2 linked regions of the Notamacropus eugenii genome follow. The protein of the gene in region 1 purifies or fractionates together with the protein of each later gene. This does not show direct contact. Links are inferred from orthologs where the notes say so. Each region holds a gene or a part of one and is shown on either strand. Other genes may lie near its edges.

Region 1 (12,429 bases):
TGCTATCCATCCCCAGAGAAAGAATTGATGGCATCTGAATACAGATCGAAGAATGCTTTTTTTACTTTCTTATTTTTCTTGTGTTTTTATTTTGGTCTGTGTTTTCTTTTACAACATGTCTAATATGGAAATATGTTTTTCATGATTACACATATATAACCAATATCAAAGTGCTTGCCTTTTCAATGAGAGAGGTGGGAAGAGAGGGAGACAATTTGAACTCAATTTTTAAAATGAATGCTGAAAATTGTTTTTACATGTAATTGGGGAGAAATAAAATATCAAGTTTTTAAAAAATTACATGGTAAGGGAGGGGAGATTTTTTTTTTCTGAGTGCAGAAATTTATGACACTATAAAGTAATTAGGGACTAAATTTGTGACTAAAATGTAAGTACAGTGAATTTCCAAACTGTTGTTTGAATTTTTTAAATAAATGCTGAAATATGTTAGTAAGTTTTGGGATGCCATTCTGTAGAATTTGTTTTAAGGTAAAATGAGAATAAAACTTTGTGAAAGTTACATAAAAATAACGCTAAGGCCTTTTATCACTTTTTCCCTAGAGCGTGGCAGATTTATTTTTTTATTGCAAGGAGGAAAGTTATTTCACTAACTAGAAAAAAAAAGGAAGAGCTGAAGCACTGTCAGTGAAGTTTCAAAGTAAAGGAAAAAAATGGGTTTGCTGTATATAGTTTGAATTTATCTGATACTTATAACATGCCCATTATTACCTCTTTTCTTGACCATGAAAAGAAAAAAAAACTTGTTTAAACCAGGAAGCAACTTTAAAATAAGTAAAATTTAATTTGGGAGAATGTTTTGTGTTTCCACTATTTTTTTTCTGTGAATGATATACAGAATGTAATTGTTTAGGTAAATAAAAGCAAAATTGTCTAAAGGTTTTGGAAAAAATCATGCATTTATAAACTCTAAAGAACCCCCCAAAGGGAACAGTATTGCAACAAATTGGCACTGTGTAATAAAAACTTGAACTAAAATGGCAAAGGAGAAATTGAGTAGGGGAAGGGGGGTGAAAAAGATAAATTCTATCAATAGTCTGGGATATGCCTAGGAAATAGAGACCAGAGGAAATAAGCAAATAGAAAAAAGTAAGAGAAATGTCAGATCAGAATATGGAAAGAAAAAAGAAAGGGGCACTTTGAAGGACTTTAATCACCATCCACTATGGGATATGAAAAGGAAGAAAGGAAGAAGTTTTAATTAAGTAGTGGTGAGAGAATAGGTAGAAAGTTAGAGAAAGTTATAATCTGTTTGCACTGAGTGTAAATGGAGAATTTGAAAGTAAAAGGTTTGGAGTTTGAGGGAGATTTTTGATCTTGTTGAGATAAAATAGAAATGAGAAATACAATCTGGTTATTTATACGGAAAACATAGAAATATATTTGCAGTGTTGAATTATTTGAGGAAATCAGGCCTTAAGGGAAATATAGTATTTAGCATTAGTATTTAGCAATGTGTTTAGGAACTGCAAGTTTTGCTAAAGGTATAATTGGATCAAAATTACTCTATATTGGTCTTGAATGCAATCTATACTGCGTTGAATACTGCAGTAATATATTTGCAGTATAGAAAGCTTAAAGTTCAATCTAAGCAGATTGGCCTCCCAGTAGAATGCCCAAAGTGATCACATGAATGGTTTTCTATGTAAGATAATTTGGAAAGGCATTCAATTAAATCGATGTCATATGGCTGGCAATAAGTTTTGTTTCATGTTTTAAATACATGATATTGTGTGTGTTATTATTGTTAATTTGTTAATTTTATTACTATTGTTTATATTCTAAATTTTCTTGTATTGTGAATTTTGAGAAATCATTGTATAAGAAATGCTGTTAAGAAGATGATGCAATTGTATGATTGGAAAATTTAACTCCTTTTGATCTGGATGCTGTGAAATTATTAAATTATTAGAGGCTATCGTGATGTTAAAACCTATCAAGTATTTAATTGGGTATATTTTAAAAGAGAAGAATAGTAATTATTTTGTAAGAAAATAAAAAAAAAAGAAGAAATCCTTGTAAAAATCTTCTTATATGTAATCTTGTCAGGTTCCTTGGGACCATCTGCTTGGACAAGGTCACAAAATCTTATTGGTCCTTTGAAAGAACTTGCTAAGTGTTGTGAAATTCCAGAATAATCAGTTGGTTTACTGAGAAAATGGGATTCCTCTCTTCTAACACGAACACTCTTTGCCAAAGCTGGGGGAGAATTTACAGGTTGTAACTTATATGATGGTTTGTGATTATGAAAATTGTGAAATTATACCTGGAAGTATCAATGTTTTTCTGGATGTAGAGTAAACTGTCATATAATCACTGTTTATGTGGAATTCCAGCATGAAATTATTTTCTTAATTGTTATGGATTGATTTATAAACCAGGATGAGTTTAAACTCAAAAAAGAAAAAAGAAGAAAAGGATGTTGAGTGAATTGTTTTGAAAGGCTTGGTAAACTTTTTATCATTAACAGTTACTGTAAACAGCATGAGAGAAATAATAACTGTACCTAGCTTTAAGTTGTGATTAGTGAAACTTGCTATTTGAGGTAAAATCTCTTGGTACTGGAATTTGATATTGTTCTGAGTTTTGAATTTGGGTAAAAATGTCTGAATTATCATTGTCAATACCATTCATGGAAAATTCCATGAGCTGTTCAAATGGAATGTGATCCAAGAGCTGCTACAGGTGGGAAATTGGAAAGGATGACCTTTCATAGGTGAATATAGGATCTTCTTGCCTCGGTAATTTCTTTCTTGAATAGGAATGTTTCCCAACAGGTTAATCTTCAGCCTGGCTATGGTATTCTATGAATAAGGTGGAACTTTTCTGTGAGATTGGCTGTTCCAAAAAGTTAACTGTGACAAGGAAATCAAACAGAACTAGGGATGCTTTATCCTGTTATATCTATGTTAAGTCATTCTGTGCTTAGGCCTGGAGGTACAGTCCTGATGTTAATGCAACCATGTCCCTCCTTCTTCCTTTCATAGAAATTTCTCTAGCTATGGCAGGTAAAACTGTAATTTTTAAAATGTAATGAATCTTATTGTTGCAATACCCCAGCATCTCTGAATTGCTATAAAGGGATGCAAGTAGAAAGTCAAGGAAATACCTCCACAAACCTATCCTGATCTATGCGCAGATGTTTGAGAGATGTACAAGAGGTACCTATCAGATACTTGAAGATTATAGACACTGCCAAAGGACTTGACACCTCCTAAAGCTACAACTATGCTGGATTTCTTTATTTACCTTATTGTAATGTTGCTTGTTGTATTAGTTCTGTGTGTGCTATGGATCTGTTACCTATTCTGTAAGCTGCTTATCATTTCTGCTTGGATTGATTTGGGAATTTTTTTTTTAATTGTGAGACTGCCAATAGTCTCAAATAAGGGAATCATGAATAACAAGAAAGAAAAAGCCAACTTCATTTTGTCTGTAGTTCCTCTATCTTACCACTGACCCTGTTTGTATCACAACCTGTCTCCTGCCTCTTCAATTTAGCAGGGTCTCAAAGGATAGCTAAGATAACTGAAGAAGAGCCTTTCTAGTTTCTAGTCCAGCAATAGGCCTGTTCAATCACAGGATACTACATTCCCTATTCCTTCTCCACAAGCCCCCAGCAATGTCCTTGTCTAATCCTGAGGCACCCAATTCACCTCCTGCCTAAATTGAAGCTTTGTCCTTTTGTTCCTTTGTGGAGGCCTGGCTCCTACAGGTGGGACTCTTCTGCTGACAAATTCAATAAACCCATTGGTTTCTAAATTTGTGGTACTGGATTTGGGTTTTAGTTTGGGGGTTTTGGTTCTGGTTTGTGGCAGCACCAACAATTTTACCCACAATGCTCACTGTAGTCCTTTGAGGTAGGTGCTGTTATTATCCCTACTTGAGAGTTGAAGAACCTGACAGGTTAAGTGGCTCACTCAGAATCTCACTGCTAGTAAGTGGCTGAGGCTGGATTTGAACTCGGGTCTTCCTGACCCCAGGCTTAGTTACTGATGGAGACTTAGGTAGGTCTACAGGCTGAATCTCAGAAATAGGTTGAGTAAAGATTAATTCAAGTCCTGGTTGAGTTGGCATTTCTCATGATGAATTCAAACTTTTTTCTTTTAAGGGGTCTGGCCAATGAGGCATTATAGCCTTCTGTTTTCTTCTTGTCAAAGAGAGGATGTCAACCCTAAACTGACTTTGGGAATTAATTGAATTCTATGTCCTTGCTTAGGATCTGATGTGAGCTTAGGAGCTGAGCTGAATGGGATCTAGGGCTTCTAGGCAGTTTGGGGTGGGAGAAGGAGAAGGGAAAAATACTAGGCTCCTCTTCACCTTAGGACCCTGATCTGATGTGATCCTCACCTGCTCTACCTGTTATTCCATCTGATCTTCCCAACAACCCTGGGAAGTAGGTGCTATTCTTATCCTCATTTTACAAATGAGTAAACAGAGGCTGAGAGAGGATAAGTGACTTGTCTAGGGTCACACAGCTAGTAACTCAATCATAATTCGAACTCAAATTTTCTAGACTCTAGGCTCTTCACTCTACTTGGTACCTTGTGGCAAATTCGGGCAAACTTAAGTTTTCTTATCTGTCTTCCTCGGATATTTGTTCAGTAGCTGACTTTCCACATACCCTCACCCATCCTGCCCTCACTGTCTTATTTACTTCTTCAAGAAAACCCTGTGGAATGGGCAGGCATAGCTTCTGGTACGGAGTGATGGCTCTAAGCTCCTTGTCCTTCCAAAATCAGCCTGGGGAACCTTGGGAACTCATCATTCCCAGATGGCCCAGGATGGGATGTTGTAGCACCAATGCCACTCTTCTCTTCATGATTTACAGGTGAGGGAACTGAGGCCTGAGAAAGGTGAAATGATTTCCCTGAAGTTGGAGACAAATTGGGTCTTCGAGACCAGATCTCCCTAATTACTGCTTACTGCCTGGTCTCATTTTGACATATGTTTATTGCTACACATATATTTCCCCAGTAGAATGTAAAATCTCTGAAGGCAAGAGAGCTTTTTGTGCCTTTTATCCCAGTGTCTGGCCCACACTAAGTAGACAGTAACTGCTTACTGGTTGAGGGAGACAGGATGGGAGACTGAGTCACTTGCTCTGACATCAAACTCGTAGTAAGTTTGACAGGAAGAAGCCTTGCCATTGGTTTTTCAGGCCCATCACTGTGATTGCTGCAGTATAAAACCAGAGGGTGCTATAAGAGGCATTCTGGTTTTTATGAGTCTGTCCAAGTTTGACAGAAACCAGGCTTTACGGAAGCAGATGGTACTGAGAACAGAAGTAAAAATCTTTTTAGAACTCTCTGTGGGGGAGGGGAAGAGTTACATCTAGATCAGAGGATCATAAATTAAGAGCTAGCAGGGACTTAGATATCACATCCAACCCCTCTCATTTTTTACATACAAGGAAACTGAGGCAGAGAGAAGTTAGGTGACTCATCCAGGGATTATAACACTAGTAAGGCAGAATTTGAATTCAGGTCTTCCTGACTCTAAGTCCAGCCCTCTGTAGGGAGGGATAGGGAACTCAGGGGTACTAAAAATAGCCTCAGGACCAGTGGTGTGGAGAGAGTTCTAGCTTGGAGTTGTTTCTATACTACTTTTAGCTGTGGCAACCTTGGGCAAATTAATTCAACTCCTATTCCCCTTCTGTAAAATGGGGAGAATATTGGTATTATCCTTCCTTCTCTGGGTACCTATGAAAATGGAGCCAGAGGGCTTTGTAACATTGTACAGTGGGTGTGTCATTGTAGGCCTGGGGCCACTTAAAGCTCTCAGATGATCCTGTATCCTCACCTGTGAAATGACTCCGACCCCTAACCTCCATAGGTAGGTATTGAGGAAAGTGCTTTTCGAATACAGTATTGAAATATTAAGGAAATGGGAGATTCTATTATCCTACCATGGGACACTCCTCTTTCTCTTCTCCCCTTTTCTAAGACCTGATACTTCTTACTGTTATTACAATAAAAGCTAAGATTTGGGGCAGCTAGAGAGTGCAGTGAATAGAATATTGACCCTGGAGTCAGGAAGACCTGAGTTCAAATATGACCTCTGACACTTACTAGCTGTGTATGCATGGGCAAGTCACTTAACCCAGCTTCCCTTAAAAAAAAAATTTTTTTTTTAAAATATATTTTGAGCTTTACTCAATCACTCTGGGAGGTAGGTGCTATTATTATCTTTGTTTTACAAATGACAAAACTGAGGCTAAGATAGAGAGAGATATATGCTCTGGGATTCTGTGTAGTAGCTAACACCACAGAATCTACCCAGCTTCCCTGAGGAGAGAAGGACAAACCAAAGAAAGGGGTCAGGGAGGAGCCAGGCCAGGAGGAACTAGAGGGGCAGAGGAGCCAGGGTCATCTGCCTCACCTGACTTCGCCCAGAACTTCTTTTACTAGGGAGTGATTGAGTTCCGAAGCAGCTAGGTAGTAAGCAATGTGATTCATGAGAAAGGGAGTGGATTTGGAGCCAGGAAGCTTGCTTTCACTTTCAACTTTGTTTCCTCTCCCCAGGCCTTTTCACACACTTCTGGAATGACTGACTTCTCCACTTACGACTCAGAATCCGGCCCCCTCCTTCTCATCCCTCCCATAAAGCATCTGACCATTTTCAAATTATCTTGTACCTTAACAACAATAGCATTTCTATAGCTGAAATAGGTGTTATTATTACCCTCATTTTACAGAAAAGGAAATTGAGGCAGGTAGAGGTGGTTGGTAGCTTATCTAGGGCCACTTAACCTAATAAGGGACCCAGGGGAAATTCAAGGGCAGGTCTTGCTTACCCCTGGCCCATCTCTCTATCTAACCGTCCCTGTTACAACCAAATTATTTATTTTCCATAATGTTGTACCGGAATATGCACTTTCGAGGCGGGGACTGGTTCCCTTTTTCATTTGTTTATGCAGCTGGAAACCTAACTCTGATTAGGCACTTAAATGAATGATTGTGGTCACTTTCTGTCTATGAGTCTTAGTTTATTCATCTGCAGAATGGGGTTGCTCGGTCAGGGAGAGACGATATACATTAAGAAATGAAAAAACAAATATAAGAACCAAAAAAAAAAATCAATTAAAACAATTAGCCTACGAGTAAGTTCAACTTCCACTTCCCTTCCCCCATCCCTTCTCCTATCCCCTCTCTTCCTCCAGGTTGGTAGTTAGTAAGCGGAGGAAACGGTAGCTAGGGACAGATTAGGGGCTTTTCCCTAGCTGGAGACTGGAGGCAATTCTATTGTTTTGTTTTTTTTTAAAAAATCCAGATTTCCACTAAAGCCGAGAGCTAGGAAGGAAGAACTCCTGCCCCTCTCAGAGGGCGCAGGGGCGGTACAGCCTCCCTGCGCTTGGGGCGTACACGGATCCACGGATCCACGGATCCACCCTCTAGCAGCGGAGTAAGACGGACCTGGCACAGACCTGGCACCTCCCCGGCCCGAATAAGCGCAGGTGGTTCCGCCCGCGGTCTGCCCCCACCTTCAGCCTGGGGAGCTCTGGAGGCCCAGGGAGCACCCTGAAGGGCTGCATGATTAGAAGATCCGGACACCCCATGTCGGCGGGTAGGACTGTCTTAGGTTGGTTACGGAATTTTCTCTGTCCTCCAGAGTTGGGAGCTCTCCTTCGCAGGGTTCCGAACTCCTGGTGGAGTCCCGACCCCTTCTGAGCTTTCCCTCAAGTCTGCGTTCGCAGTGACTGTCACTAACGCCAGCGCCCCCCCCCCCCTCCCCCGTTCTGAATTCCTCTCTTCTCCACTTCTCCCCATCCCACCCTTTCGTCCTCGGAGTTTCTAGCTCCGCACCCTTTCTCTCCAGAGCCCAGGTAGAGCTGGATACTCCCGTTCGCCCAGGTTTGAAGTTCAGGAGTTCTCTCCTTCCTGGGTCCAGGAGGCCCTTCCTGGCTCAGCCTGCCTGGAACATGAAGTTTGCTCTGAGTACCCACTGGAGAGCAATGCTCGGACGATACCGCCTCCCCTACCCCTTTATGCCTCGAAACGCATCGCGTCTCTTGGGGAAGTCCCAGTCAGTCCCCTCCAGTGGCTGGGGAAAAGGGAAAATCTTGGTGCCACTCAAACATCCGAGGGAGGGGCCGGGCCGGACTCGGAACACGTTGCTGAAAGTTTCGGTAACCCATCTGGTTGTCCGGCTTCCGCATCCAGCCTCCTCGGGGGAGCGGCTGGTGTGCTTGGCCTTGCCTGGAAGTACTGGGATTGGAACCTTCATTCTGGGGCAGTTAGTGTCCCCCACTCCCACCCCACTCCTCCGCCAGGTCTTGGGAAATTCTTTGTATGGTCTTCTCTGTATGGTCCCGACTAAGCACTCTGGCACTCTGCACTTCCAAAGAAAGGTAAGGGCAGGGTCCAGTGGGGGCAGGGAAGTCCACCATTTCCTGGGTCATCTTGAGCTCAGGATCCCACATGGATCCATAGTCTCTTTCCCTTGTGGTGGAAGCTGATTGATTCCTCACTCAAGGAGACAAGATTTGGGAGAAAGAAGGGAAGGGCAGGAGGTTGTTATTAAGTGCCTGTTAGGACCAGTATTACTGCCTCCACTATCTTAGTCATCGATCTAGGCGTCACACTGCTCTGCTGAGCAAAGGTTAAATTACTTTCCCTGACATTCCTTTACCTTAGGAGTTTTTAATCTATTTGGGTAACTGGATTTCAATAGAATTGATTTCCGTTGGAATCCTCTGTATTTTATTTTATGCGTTTAAAAGCATTCTGAAAAGGCATCCGTAGATTTTCTTCAGATTGCCCAAGGGACCCATGACCCCAAATGCCCCAAAAGTTAAGGACTCCAGTCAGTTTGTTCTGCCACGTCCGACTCCTCATGACCCCATATGGAGTTTTCTTGGCAGAAATGCTGGAGTGGTTTGCCATTTCCTTTTCCAACACGTTTTACAGATGAGGAACTGAGGCAAACAGAGTTAAGTGAATTGCTTGGGGTTACATAGCAAGTGTCTGAGGCCAGATTTGAACTCAGGAAGATGAATCTGTCCATTTACACCTTACCTTTTCGGTATTATTTCCTACAAACTCTCAGCCAAATTTAATAGTTCTCTGTGCTCCAAACATTTCTTGAACTTTGCCACCTTGATGTATTTGCTCACTCTACCCTATGCTTGAAATATCTTCTGTTGAATTCCTAACCATGCTCTTAAAAGCCCAGCCCAAATGCTACCTTTTTCCTTTGTTGTGTTTTGTTCACAAAGGTACTTGAGTGTTAGGACAATCATATCTCTGACTTCATATTACTAAAATATTTCAGATCAATATTTTTCACTTTATTCTTTTTTTTTTTAAACTAAGCTGGTTTTATTATCTTAACAAAATACCTGCTAAAATCTAAAGGGCCTTTTGCTTTGTATGTAGGGAGTACCAAGATTACAAATGCCTGTTTTCCCTTCAGTCGTTACCTAGGGAAGAGAGAACATGGATACATTGGAGAGATTTTCAGTCAACAAAACGGACAACTTATTGGTTATTGGGAGTGATGTAAGTGACAGCTAAGGGTCAAATCCAAGTTATAAACCTGGGTGGCTAGAATTTATATTTTATTCTAAAAACACTAAAAAGCCCCTGAAAAAGCTTCTTGAGCAGAGAAGTGACAAGGTCAGCTCAGCTCACTGTTAAGTGCTTCATGAATTGAATTGGAGATAGAGAACCACTAAGTCTTAACTAAACTCTCCATCTACCCCTGCTCTTAGTAATGAAATCTGTTGCTGTTTGCTGGTGCAGGACACCAGATGAAGGGAAAAACCATTCTGGTCTTTGACATCATGGATGAATCGATAATTTATGAAATTGTGAAATGGGGGCAGGCATGCCCAGTTCTTTGGGTACTCTCCAGGACAGACCTTGATTGGCAGCCAGAAACAGGCCAGCAGTCACACATTAATGAAGGCAAACAACAGAAAATACAGAGACAAGCAGCAAGAAGGATACAGAGGCAGATGGTGATGTGAGGTCAGGGGATGGGATGGGAAAGGAATCGTAGGGAAGAGGATGGGAAGGAGGAGAGGCAGAAGGTATCACTTATATAACTATTAGAGTCAGAAGCACTAGGCAGCATGGACCCAAGAGGGGTCAGGGGGCATGAGTTTGATGTCTCACTCTTATAAGGTCTTTTGTTTTTGTTTTTGAAACAGACCATCTCTTATTTGTGCCACCTTGGGATTAGTTCATTAACATCCACATCATCTCAAAGTTGTCGGTAATACTTCAGTTAACGTACCTACATCATCTCAATGTTACGATCAACTTTTGATGTTCTGTTGGTGTGGAGCTGTGGAGGTCTGGATTTTGTCTATGGACCAGATATCATAGGACCAAAATGCTGACAGTACTGCCTAGATGGCTTTCCCTTATTCAGCACATATTACCAGGAGGTGAATTTTGCTTAATATATGATCCAGTTTGTAAATTATTCTTCTTGGATGTTTGGGTTGATTTGTATGTGACTTCCAGGTTCCCTCTGCAATTTCCTGCTGTTGCTCCTTTATACTGACCACTTATAAGCTTAACTAGATTGACTAGAAGTGGGGTGGTGGTGGTCAGGGAGACCAGAACAAGATATAATTTTTAACAAAGTGGGACTATCCTTTGGAGGAATGAGATATAGACCTGTAAATAACTATACAATTCAGGAAAATGAAGAAGGCAAACTAAGTGGTTGGAGGAGAGGTCTCCTTCATCTTAGGGTGAATATGGAAAGGTTTTCTGAAGGAGATAGTACCTGAGTTGGTCTTTGAAGGAAGAGAAAGGATTTCAACAGGAAGAGACTGGGGGATGGGGATGGAAGGGTTGCTAGTAGCTCAGCCTGAATGGGCCATAGAGTATGGAAAGGGGAGGAGCATAAAATAAATTTGGGAGATGGGTTGGAGATAGACCTCAGAAGGGCTGGAACTGTAAAGTAGGGAGCTGGCATTTTATCTAGTAGGTAAGGGGAAATCATTGAAGATGTTTCAGCAGGGGAGTGATGTAGTCAGAACTAGGCCATAGGAGGCTTATTTTGGTAGCTGCGTGGAGGATGGATTAGAGAAAGAGAGATCCTCTTAGGAGACTATTGAAACTGCCCCCATGAGAGGCAGTGAATGCCTTAACTAGGGTGGTAGCCCTTTGAGTAGTGAGAAGGGTATGGATGTGAGATGTAAGAGGCACAGGACTTGACAACTGACAGGATGAGGGGCTGGGAAGAGTTAGAGATGACCCTGAGGTTTTCCCACTGGGTGAGTGGATGATCCTATCAACAGGACTAGGAAAGTTGAGAGGAGGGATAAATTTTGGAGAAAGGTTATATTCAAGAAGCATTTATTGTTTTCTTTGTGCAAAGCACTGCATGTCAAAACAAGGAAAAAAAAGAGTCCTTGTCCTCATATATTCTACTATGAAATTATAAACAAATACAAGGTATATTTGGAAGCACAAAGTAATTTCTGGGGAAGGGAAGGATAGTCAAAGGAATTAGGAAAGGTCTCATGTGGGAGGTTACACCAGAGCAAAGCCTTGAAGGACCTTAGGGCTTCCAAGAGATAAGGAAGGACAACATTCTAGGGATGGAAAACAGCCTACAAAAAGGTGTATAGGCAGTTGAAATATTAAGTGCAAGTAGGCCAGTTTTGCTGAAAAACTAAGTGCATGGGGGAGGTGGGGTAGAAATTTGTAATTGGCGTGGAAATTTAAACTTGATCCAGAATGTGAAGGGTTTTAAATGTTGAATTGGAGATGCCAATGAACTGTTTAAATGACGTTGTCCTGGAGTCTAGAGTCCCTACCCTAGAAGTCATCTAGCCCAGGGTTTCTTAACATCTTTTATGACACGGATCCCTTTGATAGTCAGTCTAGTGAAGCTTATGGATCCTTTCTCAGAATCCCATTGTGTTTTTTTTTTAAAGAAATCTTTTTTTTTGTCTTATTATTTATTTATTTTTAGAATCCTATTTTTAAATGCATAGGATGATAAAGGAAACTGACGCTGAAATACAGTTATCAACAAGCAAGTTCATGTACCCCAGGCTAAGAAGTTCTGAACTAATCCAATTTGCTCCTTTTACAGTTGAGGAAACTGAGATCCAGAGAAGAGAATGACTTACTCAGAGGCACAGTACCATGGGAAACTGGATCCTCTGATTCCAAATTCAATGCTTTTTCCACTATACACGCTAGAAGTAGGGGCTAGGGCTCAGGAAAGCATTCAGAACTCAAGAGCTCTCCGGACATACACATTTGCAACTAGTTGTGCCATGGTTTCCTCTTGTTATTTATTATAAAAATTCATTCATTCATAATACATTTATTGAGTACCTACTATGTACAGGGTCCTATGCTAGGTTTCAAAGGGGGATATGAAGATGAAGTCCCTCAGGTGCTCTAGGAGTTTATAGTCTAGCGGGGTTGGGAAGATATG
Region 2 (12,844 bases), on another chromosome or scaffold:
TGCAACTGGGGATTTTACAGATGGGGGACATGGACATGATTGTAAGCAGCCATTATATGGGAGAATCCTAAGATAAAAGAAAAAGTGAAGACAATATCAGGGATAATTTTTCTGGAAATGGAGGGAGGATGATGGACAGTATGAGGGAATATGTGGAGAAGTGGGCCTTGGAAAAGGAGAAAAGCTACCTCTTCAGCTAAGAACAGAGTGAAGTTAAAGATTATGGGAGATGTCTGAATGATGTTAGATGGTGAGGAGCAGAGAAAGGGAAGCTCTCAAAGAATGGCCTAAACTGTTTTGAAGTGATACCAGGCCTTCACCTTGACAGGGTCAGTAGAGAGCATGTTACAGGATATTTTAAGAGAATGAGAAAGTTTGGAACAGCCATTGTTGAGAGTTAGCAAATTGGGGAGATAGTACAAATGTAGTAGGGGCACAGAAATACATATAATATACATACATACATACATGTGTATGTATGTATATACATATGTGTATGTGTGTATGTAGATGATTGTGCACTCAATACAGACTGAGGCTGAGATGCAAGCATAGATCAGTTCTCTGCTTCTTGTGCAAATTTTGGCTTAACGATTAACAACTAAGAGAACAGGTAATCTACCAGCCCACACTATACCATTCATATGCGGAACAACAAATAGAGAAATTTTGAAGGCTGGATGTTTGCTTACCTTGGCAGCATACTTTCCAGGGATGTACACACAGAGATGATGTGGACAGACATGCATTGCCAGAGCTAGCTCGGTGTTTGGGAGGCAACAAAGAAAAGTGTGGCAGAGAAGAGATATTAGGCTGCCTAGCAAACCGAAGGCCTACAGAGCCTTGTGGTCACCACACTGTTGTGTGCCTGAATCCTAGACAATCTGCCAGTACAGGACCTTAGAACAAAGGATACTAGAGTTGGAAGGTAATAGCACATAGACTATTTAATATAGAACCTAGCGTATGGGATTTATATCATCTAATCAAGCTCTTCGTTTTATATGTAAGAAACTGCAACCTAGAGAGGTGATGTGAGGCATTCAAAGTCATACTATTTCTTAATATTGTAAATAAGTTCTTCTTTAAATTATTTGATTAGTGAGTTTACACTCCCAAACTGTTCTACTTTCAGCGCAGCAGATTGCCTCTCCTTGCCTGCCTCAAGATGTTTCTTCCCTGTACCTGCTCTCCAAACTATGACTGGCATTGCTGTTTTATGAAATGACCCAGTCAAGTGCACTTTTCTTCAGTTAAATTACACTTCCTCCTTTTTTACCCTGGAATGCCTCCCCCATTTCCAGCTCACCTTTATTTTTTGTCTTTACCTATTAGGAAGGAAGATCTTTGATAGCAGGGCCCACCTTCTTATTTGGTCTTTGCACAATTCCTCTTGCATGTGTGTGAATAACAAATTTCTTCCCTTCATTTCTGTCTCTCTCTCTCTCTCTCTCTCTCTCTCTCTCTCTCACACACACACACACACACACACACACACACATTTTCTTAAAATGGGGACACTCTACACAATTCTCTTATTGGCATCAAATCAGAAATAAAAACTCAAGCTTTCCCTTCCCCCCTCCTACAAGCACTGCACGAAGCTTTCATTATTAATCATCTATATGTTATCTGTACACTGCCTGCCTCTTTATTAATCACCTTTATGACACCTATTGCTATCAATCATAAGGTCCATGTCTGAATATTACCAATAATTATCTGTAAATGTTCATTACCTGCCAGTCTTAATTATTTGTTTTCCTCTTCAAGTACTGACAATATCTGGTCTTTAACAGGTAGTGGTGAAGAGAGGTGGTGGAGTGTATGGCTTGGCTCTATAACCAGGACTGGGTTCTATCTTTTAGAGGACCCTGAGATTTTGGAAAGTGCCCTTCCTCATCTTGATGGGTTGGAAAATATCTAAAATGAGACTCCTTCGCTAACATTCCACATTACAGCTAGGAAAAGCGTAGCTTTCTCTTGAACCTGATAGGGAAAATAAACATAACTGATGGCATTTTACTGTACAACCATCATTTCCTCTTCTATTCTTGAACTCATTTAAACTCTTTCACCCTTTAAGGAGTAAATTATTTATGGCACCAAAGATACTAGGCAGCAATAAAACCCATGTGATTTTATGTCAGTTCTTATTGCATTTCCTGATTTTTCCCCTTAGTGCTAGACTTTCATGACATGGGAATCCCTAAAGACCTTCATTTTTGCTTTTGAACACTAAAGGATACTAATGGAAACCCCAAGGGAAAACCGAAAGTAGTGGGTCTAAAAAGTTTAGTAAGAAATTTCTGGCTTGCTATGGCAGACCCTCATCTGACTTTAGAGGGCTATTCACTTCCAGGTTTCAGTCTTCATGCAGCGATACCATAATAGGTTAAGAGTTTAATGTGCCATTGAGATAACCTAGTCCAAACCCCTGTTAGAGAAGTAAGTCCAAGAGTAATAACACTACTAGATCTATACTCAGGGTATATTGGCAAAACTTTAATAATGAGCTCCCCAAAACCACAAAAAGGGGAAAGTAGGGTAAAATAACACACTTCAAAGTTTAATCTGGGTCAGTTAGGTGGTACCATAGCAAAAGTGCTGGGCCTGGAGTGAATAAGACTAACTTTCCTGAGTCAAAATCTAACCTCAGACACTTACAAGCTATGTGCCCTGAGGTAAGTAACTTAATTCTGTTTGCACAGTTTCCTCATCTGTAAAATCCACAGGAGAAGAAAATGCAAACCACTCCAGTGTCTTTGCCACAAACATCCCAAAAGAGGTCAAGAAGAATGCGATACAACTGAGCAACAACAATAAAGATTACTCTGCATTATTAACCTTTATCACCTTAAATCTAGACAATCAACAAAATAATAAGGCAAGCCCTGATTTGTAGCCTTTACCTATTTGTGGGGTGTACAGTATCACACTAAAAATTGGATAACCCTTTCTCCTGAGTCAGTTCAAGCTGGCTTGAGTACATGCCTGCCTACTTTCAGAAGATCAGTGGAAAAGGAAAAGCATTCATGTTTCCAGCCATATTTATAGCAACCTTTTTTTGTGGCAAAAACTGGAAACTAAGGAGATTTCCACCAGTTGAGGAGTAGCTAAATTAATTAGGATAGATGGATATAATGGAATGCTACTGTGCCATAAGATGATGAAAGGAAGGGTTTTAGAGAAACCTAGGAAGGTTTGTAAAAAGTGATATAAGGTGAAGTGACTAGAAAAAGGAAGATGAAGTATGCTACAACATATTATTACAACACATTACAACAAATTATTTTGAAAGACAAGAATTTTGATTAATTAAATGAGCAACTATTATTCCAGAGAATCTAAGATGAAATATGTTACCTACTTCCTGACCAAGACGTGATAAGCTCAAGATTCAAAATGACATATATATGTTGTGACATGAATTTATTTTGCTTGACCATGCCAATTATAGGGGTTTTTTCTTCTTTTTTTCCCGCTTTTCTTCAGTGTGAGGGAGTTAGGAGAAAGAAAATTAAGGCTTATTAATTGGAAAAAGTAAGTCCAGGTCAGGCGAGATGGCAATTCCCCTATCCTGTATATATATCAACCAAACCTGAAAATATGTCTAGTACTCCACCCTAAAGTAGAAAAAACATTCTGTGTAATAACTACCACCACAATCTCAATGCAAAAATGCATCTCATATGATTCTTTGCCTACAGGGTCTACTTAAGTCACTCACAGAAACATGCATGCACAAATGCACAGAGACATCATCATCTCCCATACACAAAGGAGTGGGTCCCTTAGCTCTAACAGATTTCCTAATTTGTGATGAGCAAATATCTGGTGCTGAACTATGGAAAGTAGTTGCCACTTTTTAAGCACATCTCTGTAGCCTGACAACTTCTTTATCTGTGTATCTTTCAATATAATACCCACGAGAGAAAACTGTCAAATCAGGGGAATCTTGTAAAATGAATAGTTCTGAGAAATTAGCCCAATCATTTTTACAGATGAGAAGAAGGCTGAAATTAGAGGGGAATCAGTTTGCCCAAGGTCACAGAGCTACTGTCATCTGTGATGTTGTGTGAAAAGTAACATGCTGTAGTGTCAGAGAGGAAAGGATTTGTAGTCAGAACACCTGGGTCCAACTCTCAACTCCTCTGTTTAGTATCTGTGTAACTTTGGGCAAGTTACATCACCTTCTCAGTCTTAGTATTGCAATCTGTAAGCCAGGGAGATTGTAATATATGACCTCTCAATTCCCTTCTAGCTCCAAATGCTCTGAGCTGTCCATTGATTCTCCAGACCATTCTAGTACTTCTCCCACTGCTTATCTCCCAAAGATTCCATTTATTTCTTTTACAAATATTTATTGAGCTCCTACTAGTTATTCAATCCAGTCTCAGGTCCTAGGGAGGATACAAAGACATGGCCCTTGCCCTCAAGAGAAATGAACATGATAAAACAAATGTAAATGAGTATAAATATATGGGTTGATATGGATTATAAAATGCTTTCCTTACAATAGATGTATAAGGTAGGTGAAGAATCTAACACTCAGAAACGGGAAATGACTTACCCATGGGCAATCAGAATTTCAATTCTTATCTTGACTTAAACTTCAAAAATTTTGCTTCATAACAGGAGTTCTTAACTATTTTTTCTTTTGTCATAGACTCCTCGGAATAATGTTTTTAAATGCATAATGTAAAATCCAAAGTATTACAAAGGAAATTGATTATTTTAAACTATAGTGGCTGTATTAAAGTTATATTAAAATATAGAATTCTATTGAAATAGTTATATTAACATGTAGCTACGTGAACAAGTTCATCAACTTGTTTAAAGTTAAGAACTCTTCTTTTATACTACGTTGGACTAACAATCTATTTAAGCAAATAAGGTATATGTACATTTAAGATTCATGAATAACATGAGCATAAAGTCTCAAATAATCCTATAACCTACACATGTGATGTTATAAAGAAGATATGCCAAAGTTTCCAACATACAGATGATTATCAAATGGATCTGTGATTTCATCTATGTGGATATTCTATCCAGCAAAACAAATCAAGGGATTTGTAGTATTTATAGCTTACTTATAGTATTTAGTAGATTCATCTGAATGAAGTGTCCTTTCCTTATTTGCCAGTTGTTCTCTTTCAAGCCTCAGAGAGAACATCTGAAGCTTCTCTTGACTGTTTCATAGGCAGGAAGTCATGTCAGTAGTCCCTATCTTTAGACTCTTAAGCCAATCAGGTCTCAAGAAGGGTTTCCATATTCTTTAGGGATTAACTAGCCTGATGTGATGCATTTTGCCCATGTTTTCTCCTAATTTCATCATAGGAGGCCCATCTGCTAGCTTTTTTTGAATTCTTTTAGCATCTTGAGGGTATCAATAGAGTATCAAAACTTTCTGTAGTCGCTTATTCTTGTTACGTGACCATTATGTCATCTTTTTCAATATTATAAATTACTTTAGTTATATCCTGTAACATCACTTTTCCTTCATGATTTTTTGTTTGCATTATTTTGAAGCCTACTCATACTCAATACGTGTCTTTCCACTGGTTCTTGGGTAATATACAGTTTCACTTCCTCAGTGACTGGAGTATTCTATGACTCAGCCTGTAGGGGATAATTATACAGCATGCCAGAAACAGAGATCTAGACACCTTCCAGTGCCCTTGGGAATTTAAGAATATGAGTTGATAAGGCCTTCTGTACTCCCAGGATATGTATGCTACATCACTATTAGTAATTATTCCAGGGTCTTTGAACTTGGTTCTGATATAACCTCGCAGTGACCTTCACATAAATTGAAAAGTGTCCACCTCTGTGCAGTAGGGGAGATGATTCCCCTCCCTCTCAGGACATCCAAATCACCTTTGCATTGCATTTTCTTCTTGTCCGTGTGCTGACTAGTTAATTGAGATGTTAAGGTCCCTAATAGCACTGAGTGGCAATTTTAAACCAGATTTCTCCATGGACCTGAAAGAGAGCAGCGTTTGTGAGATGAGGCTGATCCAATTAACTGGGTGAAAACTCAGCAATACATCAGAGAAGATGATTTTTTTATGATAGCTTGAACCTTGATATGTTATCTCTAGTATTAAACAGTCATCCACTGTTTAAACTATATTTTTGAATGTAAGAGGCTTTTTTTTCATCTACTGTCTAAATGTCATGGAGAAGGGTGGATTATAATTTTGATTGCTGAAATTAAATGCAAGAGGGTCTTTGGACATTAGTCACATGACACTGTTTGTTCTTGCATATGATTTAAAAGGGCTTAACCCTGGTCTTTAAAATGTTCTGTTGGTTTGTAACCACTACAATGTGATTTCATGGTAGATTGCCCTCCATCCTGTTCACTCTGTCTCATTTCTGTCTTGGGGTTGGCAAGGCTTACGTATTTATTCAGGTTTGCTTTTTTTGTTTGTTTTGTTTTTGCTGAGAAGCTTAAAATGTTGTCATTTCTCTTCATTCTTTCATTCATTTATTCATTCCGTAAGTTTGAATTGATTGCCTCTTTCCCTTCAGAAGCTTAGAAACTAGTGGTTATTGATTAGAATAAAAAACACTAGACATTTAAGCTGAAAGCATAACTTAGATTTTAGTCATGACCTTCTTTTCTTGCTTTTCTTAGAACATTTGGACATAGAACATTAGACCTGGAAAGAATCTTAAGGTATAAAAGGCATAAAATACTAGAACATAGAAAGGTAGAGTTGGAGGGAACCTTAAGATATAAAATGTTAAAACTTATAGGAATTTTAGGATATGTGGGACATAGAGAGAGTATAGAATAGGATATTAAAACTAAAAAGGAGTTCAGAGTTCATTTAGTTATGCCTCCTTTCATTTTAATGATAAGGAAAGTTTACTTAAGTTTACTTCCTTATGAATAACTTACTAGAGGAGATAGAACTGTTTATTCCTATTTCTCTATCCCTTAGGATAAGTTGCCTACAAATGGTTTGATGTCAGGCAGAGGAATGGGTATATCAGATTGTATATAATTGATCAGTGGGCTGAGCAGGTCCTGAATGATTAAGAGTCAAATCAAATACTATTATTGTCATCCATCATTATCATCATTATGAACTGAGGTAGCTAAAGTATAGTACAGGTACAGTAGCCTGAGCAGTGGGCCTGGAGTCAGGCAGATTTAAGTTCAAATCAAACCCCAGACAATTATGAATTCTACAACCTTGGGCAAGACACTTAACCCCTATTTCTTTCAGTTCCTCATTTGTAAAATGGGGACACCCTGGAGAAGGAAATGGCAAACCACTCTATTATTTTTTTCCAAGAAAACTTCCTGGGCAAAGTCCATGGGGTTACATAAAGTTGGACACACTTGACTGAATAACTGAATGCAACAAGCATGAACTAGAAAACTGGGCTTACAATAGCCAGTGGTTTCCATGAATGGTTTGTTCTTGTCCAGTACTTTGCCCAAGTCCATTAAGGCAAGAGGATATCAGATAATTTCCTGGGATAAGAGCCAGCTTCCTCTTGAAACTCTCTCAAATACTGGCATACAAACATTTCTTTTTAAAATCTGCTTCTAACTTCCTCTCCCTCCCAAAGAAGATAAATACTTGAGAAACAAGGTCCCAGAATGCTAATGTGGTGACTCTCACTTCCTCTCTACTCCTTACCCTGCTCCAGTTTGCATACTCATTGCAGTGGGGCACCCAGCCTGGGGAAGAAAATTCTGTGTTTTATGAGTGGTACCTGCCCAAGAAGATTCACATTGCCATGTGTTCGTACTGCCATCTCTGCTCCCAGAAAATGCCAGGATGGTCCCCTGGATGGCCATGGCTCTGATGACAGCCACAACTTTCTTTTCCCGTCTGGATCCTGGGAGTTGTCATTCCTGCCTAGAGGTAAGTGTTAAGAGAATTGGGTACTATTTTGTGTCACCCTGCCCCCTCTCTCAGGGCTTCTCTATTGTTTCATCTTAAAAGAAAAAAAAAGGTTTTGAAAAACTGTTTAAAACTTTCCAGTGTGGGCACCAAACAGATGTTTGACATTGGGTAAGAGCCTTCTCTCTCTAAGCCTCAGTTTCCTCAACTATAAAATGAAGAAGTTGGACTAAATGATTTCTAAGGTAATTTAAAATTTTAATACTCTATGTTATAAGCTTCCTTCTATAGCTAATGCTCTAAGGCTCTATAAACTTGGATCTAGCTTACTTTACAAAAACAAAGCAAAACAAAGCAAAAAACTAGGAACTTCACAATGTCACAAGCATACAGAAGCAGAAAGAAATAACTCTTGTTGTTGGGGCTGGCAGCCTGAATCTATATTTGCCCAGGGTGCTAGAAGTCAAAAACCTAGGCTTTGTGTAATCAATGGACCTTTAGCTCCACAGTAATCTCAGCAGAAACTCTGAGATTTAGAGGAAAGTGTTACATCTTCAAAGTTCTGTTGGATTTTATTTTTTCCTAGGGGTTTGCTCTTTTAAAGTAGGACCACCTGTCTCAGTGGGGGGGGCTTTCTCCAGTCGTTCTGATCTTATCTTGCCACGGGATCCAGATGGCTCCAGAGGAGAAAGTGAGGCTGGTGACCTTATGCAGCCCTCCCTCACTTAACTCCAATTCACTTGCAAGTCATAGCATCATCTTCCTAATGTCACAGTCCTCGTTGAAAATGAAGGACAAACAACAACACCTATTTCAGTTGTCTTTGTCACAACTTTAACATAAATGCCTTTTGCAATAGATGCCAAGAGGTCTTTCTGTGGCCCGTGCTGCTAGGTTAGATAGATTGTATGAAGTAAAGTCCAGACTCAAACTTGTAATTAGCCCGCTGTCTCTAGCTGTGTCCTTACACATGAAACAACCAGTTTAAACATACGATATTTCAGTAGATCATTTCAGGGAATCATTTTGTTGTAAACAAAACACCCATGAACTGGTTTGACAAAATAATTGGGTTTATGACTCATGTTTACTTTTATATTCTGTCCACCGGCTTAACAGGTTGCTTCAGAATCATATGCAAAGACTACATTCCTCCTCCAAACATGGTGTTATGTCATTGTGCTGGGCTCAGAGTCTTTTCATGTGAAAAATGAAAGAAATAGAATGTTAGAACATTCATTGTGAGATCAAAGGGAAGGATCTTTGAATATAGAGTGTCAGAGCTGGAATATAACTCAGAGAATAGAGGGTTGGTAATAGAAGAGATGTTAGAGACCATCTGGTCTAGAAACCTTTTCTTATAGATTAATTTAAAAAATGGTTATCATATGAAGGATGACAAGCTTCTCAAAACTTCATAGAGTTCTAGAGCAGAAAAAAGGGATGAAAAATTTTAAAAAAGGAAAAAAGATGCTGCTCACATGCTCAATTCTTCCTGCTGAAATTCTCCTCCCCCTACTCCCCCCCCCCCCGCCCCAAAATTGCTGGCAACTAAGTTTCAGACAAGAAAATTAATTGAAACATCTATTTGGAGCATTCAAGTTTCTGTTATTTCTAAGTGAAAGCTAGTAGAGAAGCCTATAGAACATTTGGACTTTCTCCCTATCTGGGCTTCTATAAAATGAAGGTAAGAAAACAGGAGGAAAAAAAGGCAAGAGAAATCATATCAGCCAGTGCCTGGCATTCTGGGGAATTTTTCTGGCCTTTTTCAAGGCTATCGCCATGGTGATTCCTCCCCAGAAAGGAGCAGATTCCAGCTTTAGACTCCAGCTGAGGACATCACACTGGAACCTGGGAGCCAAGAACACCAGGGACATAGCAAATGATTAGAGCAGATGAACATTTTCTGCGTATGTGCATCTGGCCATAGATTTTTTTCTTTTATGAACGTCAGAGCCAAGAAGAGAAAAGTGGGAATGATATTACTAGACTTTCGCTATTTTGCATCCTGAAGTGTTAGGAGATCTGTTTAGACAAAACTCAGTACAAAGGCATAATTTTGCTAGAACAGAACAGGGCTCATAGAATTGATTGTTTTGTCTCTTAATGAAAAACAAACTTATATGCTGATCACATTTAATTTCTGGGGTTTGTTTCTTCCCTAGAAAGTACTCTGATTATATTACCAGCATCAAAAAGTAAAAGCTTCTCCATGTAATGTCCCTCAGTGTCTGCTAAAGGTCTACTTTTTCCCCATATAGCCTAACTGACCCCATGAGAATACAGGTATACTTTGGGCTGTTTAAGGAATATGCTTTCAAAAAGTTTTTAAAGCAAATCTGTGATTTTAGTCCAACTCTCCTATTGACATTGTCTATATAACTATAACGAGATATAGGTTCACATGAAAATGATGTTGGTGTTGTGATAAATAAAACTTCAGTAAGTTCTTTTTTTCTCAAAAACTCATTATATGTTATAAGAAAAATCATATTTTATGGCAAAATATTGGTAACACTTCTTGGATATAAATGCAAATTGATTTAAAAAAAACCCTTCTATTCATCTAATACCTTATTGCTTTACAATACTTTATGTATATACAACAACTATCCAGTTAAGTAGTGTAAGGTAGGATACAGTGGGCATAAGTACTATTATTCCAATTTTGCAAATGCTGCGACTCAGAGGGCAGAATGAACTTCCCCCAAATCTGGGTAATAAATTGAATTGGGATTCAAACTGGAGTCATCTGACTTTGTGTCCACTGAATCCCACTGCTGCTTTGACTAGGTTTGTTCTTTTAGCCACCGTAGCTTAAAGGCTGAAAAGAAACCCCAAGCCATAGTAACCTATAGGAAATAGCTGAAATAACCTTTGAAGATAATCTCGTCCCACTTTATTCATTTTACAATGGAAGAAATAGGTCTAGAGAAGAAAACTGACTTTTATACATTCATGGAGAAAACTAGAATTTGAACTCAGACTTCAGCCTCCAAAGGTAGAATACTTTTTACTATCCTGTCCTTCTTCCAAAACCCCTGCAGTTTCTCTGAAGATCCCTCTCTGAATTTCTAAGAAAGAAAAACAGGCAACCCACCCTGGTTTCTTCAACCCTGTTGCCTAGTACTTGGAAGATATCAATGCCTTGTAATAATAACAACAAAGATAGATAACCATAAAGAACATTGCTCTAGGTCTTTCTGGTTTATTTGCATGCAATATTTCATATAATCATTCTATCAACCCTGAAAAGTAGATAATGTTGCTGTTATGCAGGGAATATTATTACCTTCATTTTACATTTGGGAAACTGAGGCTTAGAGCTGAAGATCATATAGTTAGCAAGTCGAAGCATAAGGGCTCAGATCCAAATCCTCTGTTTTAAGAATCTATTTCTTTTCCCTTATATTCTATTTCTCTCTCTTTTGAAAAGTCCAAGTTGATCTGCATCAAAGGAGAAGGAAACATTGTGTCACAGTGAAGGAAATATTTCAGATTGTAACAGAGCAAGAGGCAAAGGGATATGTAGTACACACCTGGAAATAAAAAGAGAATTGAAATTGTGGTCAAGGAAACCGTTTATTTAGTTGCATGAAAATGGGAAAATCATTCCAAAGGCAGTGATTATGGAACAATGGGACACAGAATTTCCAGAAATTTAAGCAAAAAGTAGAGAAATTGTATAATTTCAGAGCTTACTGGAATCACAGAACTTTGAATATTGGAGCTAGATGCTACCATAGAAAATATCATGTTAGACCCCAGATCACAGAATGTTGTAATTGTGCAGAATCTTAGTACCAGGAATTTTAGAGGTGAAAAAGTGATCTTAGGTATCATCTAATTCATTCCTATTCGATTTAAGACAGAAGAAAATTGAGGCCTAGAAAGTATCTCGCCCAAGGTCACATATGAGTTAACAGTGTCATAGATGAAACTAGACAAAGCCCAGCCTAGGCCAAGACTCCTTCCATTTTACCAGGATAGTGATCAAAATAAAGGTCAAAGACTATGATCTCTATGCCATAGTAGAATTTCATTTCTAGAATTAGACTGTGAAATAAAATGGTAGGCATCTAACATAAACATCGCTATTAGTAACAATACTACCACAAATAAAAAAAAACACTTCACATTTATGTATGATTTAAAATAACACTTTGAGGCATTTATTCTAAGTATTACCACTTTAATTAACAAAGAAAAAAATGAGGCCCCAAAATATGAAGTGACTTATCTCAGGTCACAGAGCTTCTCTTCCGGAGAGCCAAGAGCACAATTCATATCTCTTCGTTTACAGCCTTATGCTTGATACATGGAGTTTAATTAAAATGGAATATATATACATATATATGTATATATATTATATATATATATATATATCCTTAATAAAAGTACTAGATGTGAAATCTGGCAGAAGAGTCTTACCTATTTTAATTTTCTCAGGCTCTTTAAGAGATACCATGGTTTAGTGAAAAGGACAGTAAATTTGATGAGAGAAGATCAAGGTCTGAAACCAGGTACTGCTGCTTATAAAGTATATGACATTAAGCATGTCATTTGATCTCTTTGCACTTCAGTTCTCTCATTGGTAAAGTGAGGGAAATAATTTTTGTGCCATTCAGTGCCTAAAGATGTTAAGAAGAAAGTGTTTTAAAAATGTTCATTTAAAAAATGAAGTAAAAAAAAACCTTTAACTTTTCATTTAGATCCTGAAATAAAGACAGTCTTAAACTAGGCACAAATATCTAGATGAGTTCATGGACATTCAATTTAATACTTATCACTTAGCGCTAGCTGAGGATAAATCATAGGTGATAGACGATGGTACATGGTATTTAACATCCCCTTGTTCAGGTTTGACTTAGAGTATAAGGAAAGCAGTCAGGATAAACATGATTGTTCCATATAATAAGCACCAGTGGTTTATCTGTGAATGATGCAGGTTTTTCCAAGCATTGAATACCAAT

Evidence for each region.
Region 2: the proteins of TICAM1 (region 1) and TLR4 purify together in Homo sapiens (affinity purification with western blotting; 3 studies listed by BioGRID). This does not show direct contact. The link is inferred for Notamacropus eugenii from reciprocal best matches to the Homo sapiens genes TICAM1 and TLR4.

Annotation. Positions count from the first base shown.
Region 1 is NC_092875.1:72,299,281-72,311,709, reverse strand, and holds the start of TICAM1 (TIR domain-containing adapter molecule 1), read left to right. Parts: upstream 1-6,641; 5' UTR 6,642-7,584; exon of another isoform or gene 7,585-7,599; intron 7,600-7,745; exon of another isoform or gene 7,746-8,368; intron 8,369-9,395; exon of another isoform or gene 9,396-9,518; intron 9,519-10,171; exon of another isoform or gene 10,172-10,411; intron 10,412-12,429.
Region 2 is NC_092872.1:437,460,680-437,473,523, forward strand, and holds the start of TLR4 (toll-like receptor 4), read left to right. Parts: upstream 1-7,500; 5' UTR 7,501-7,805; coding exon 7,806-7,892; intron 7,893-12,819; coding exon 12,820-12,844.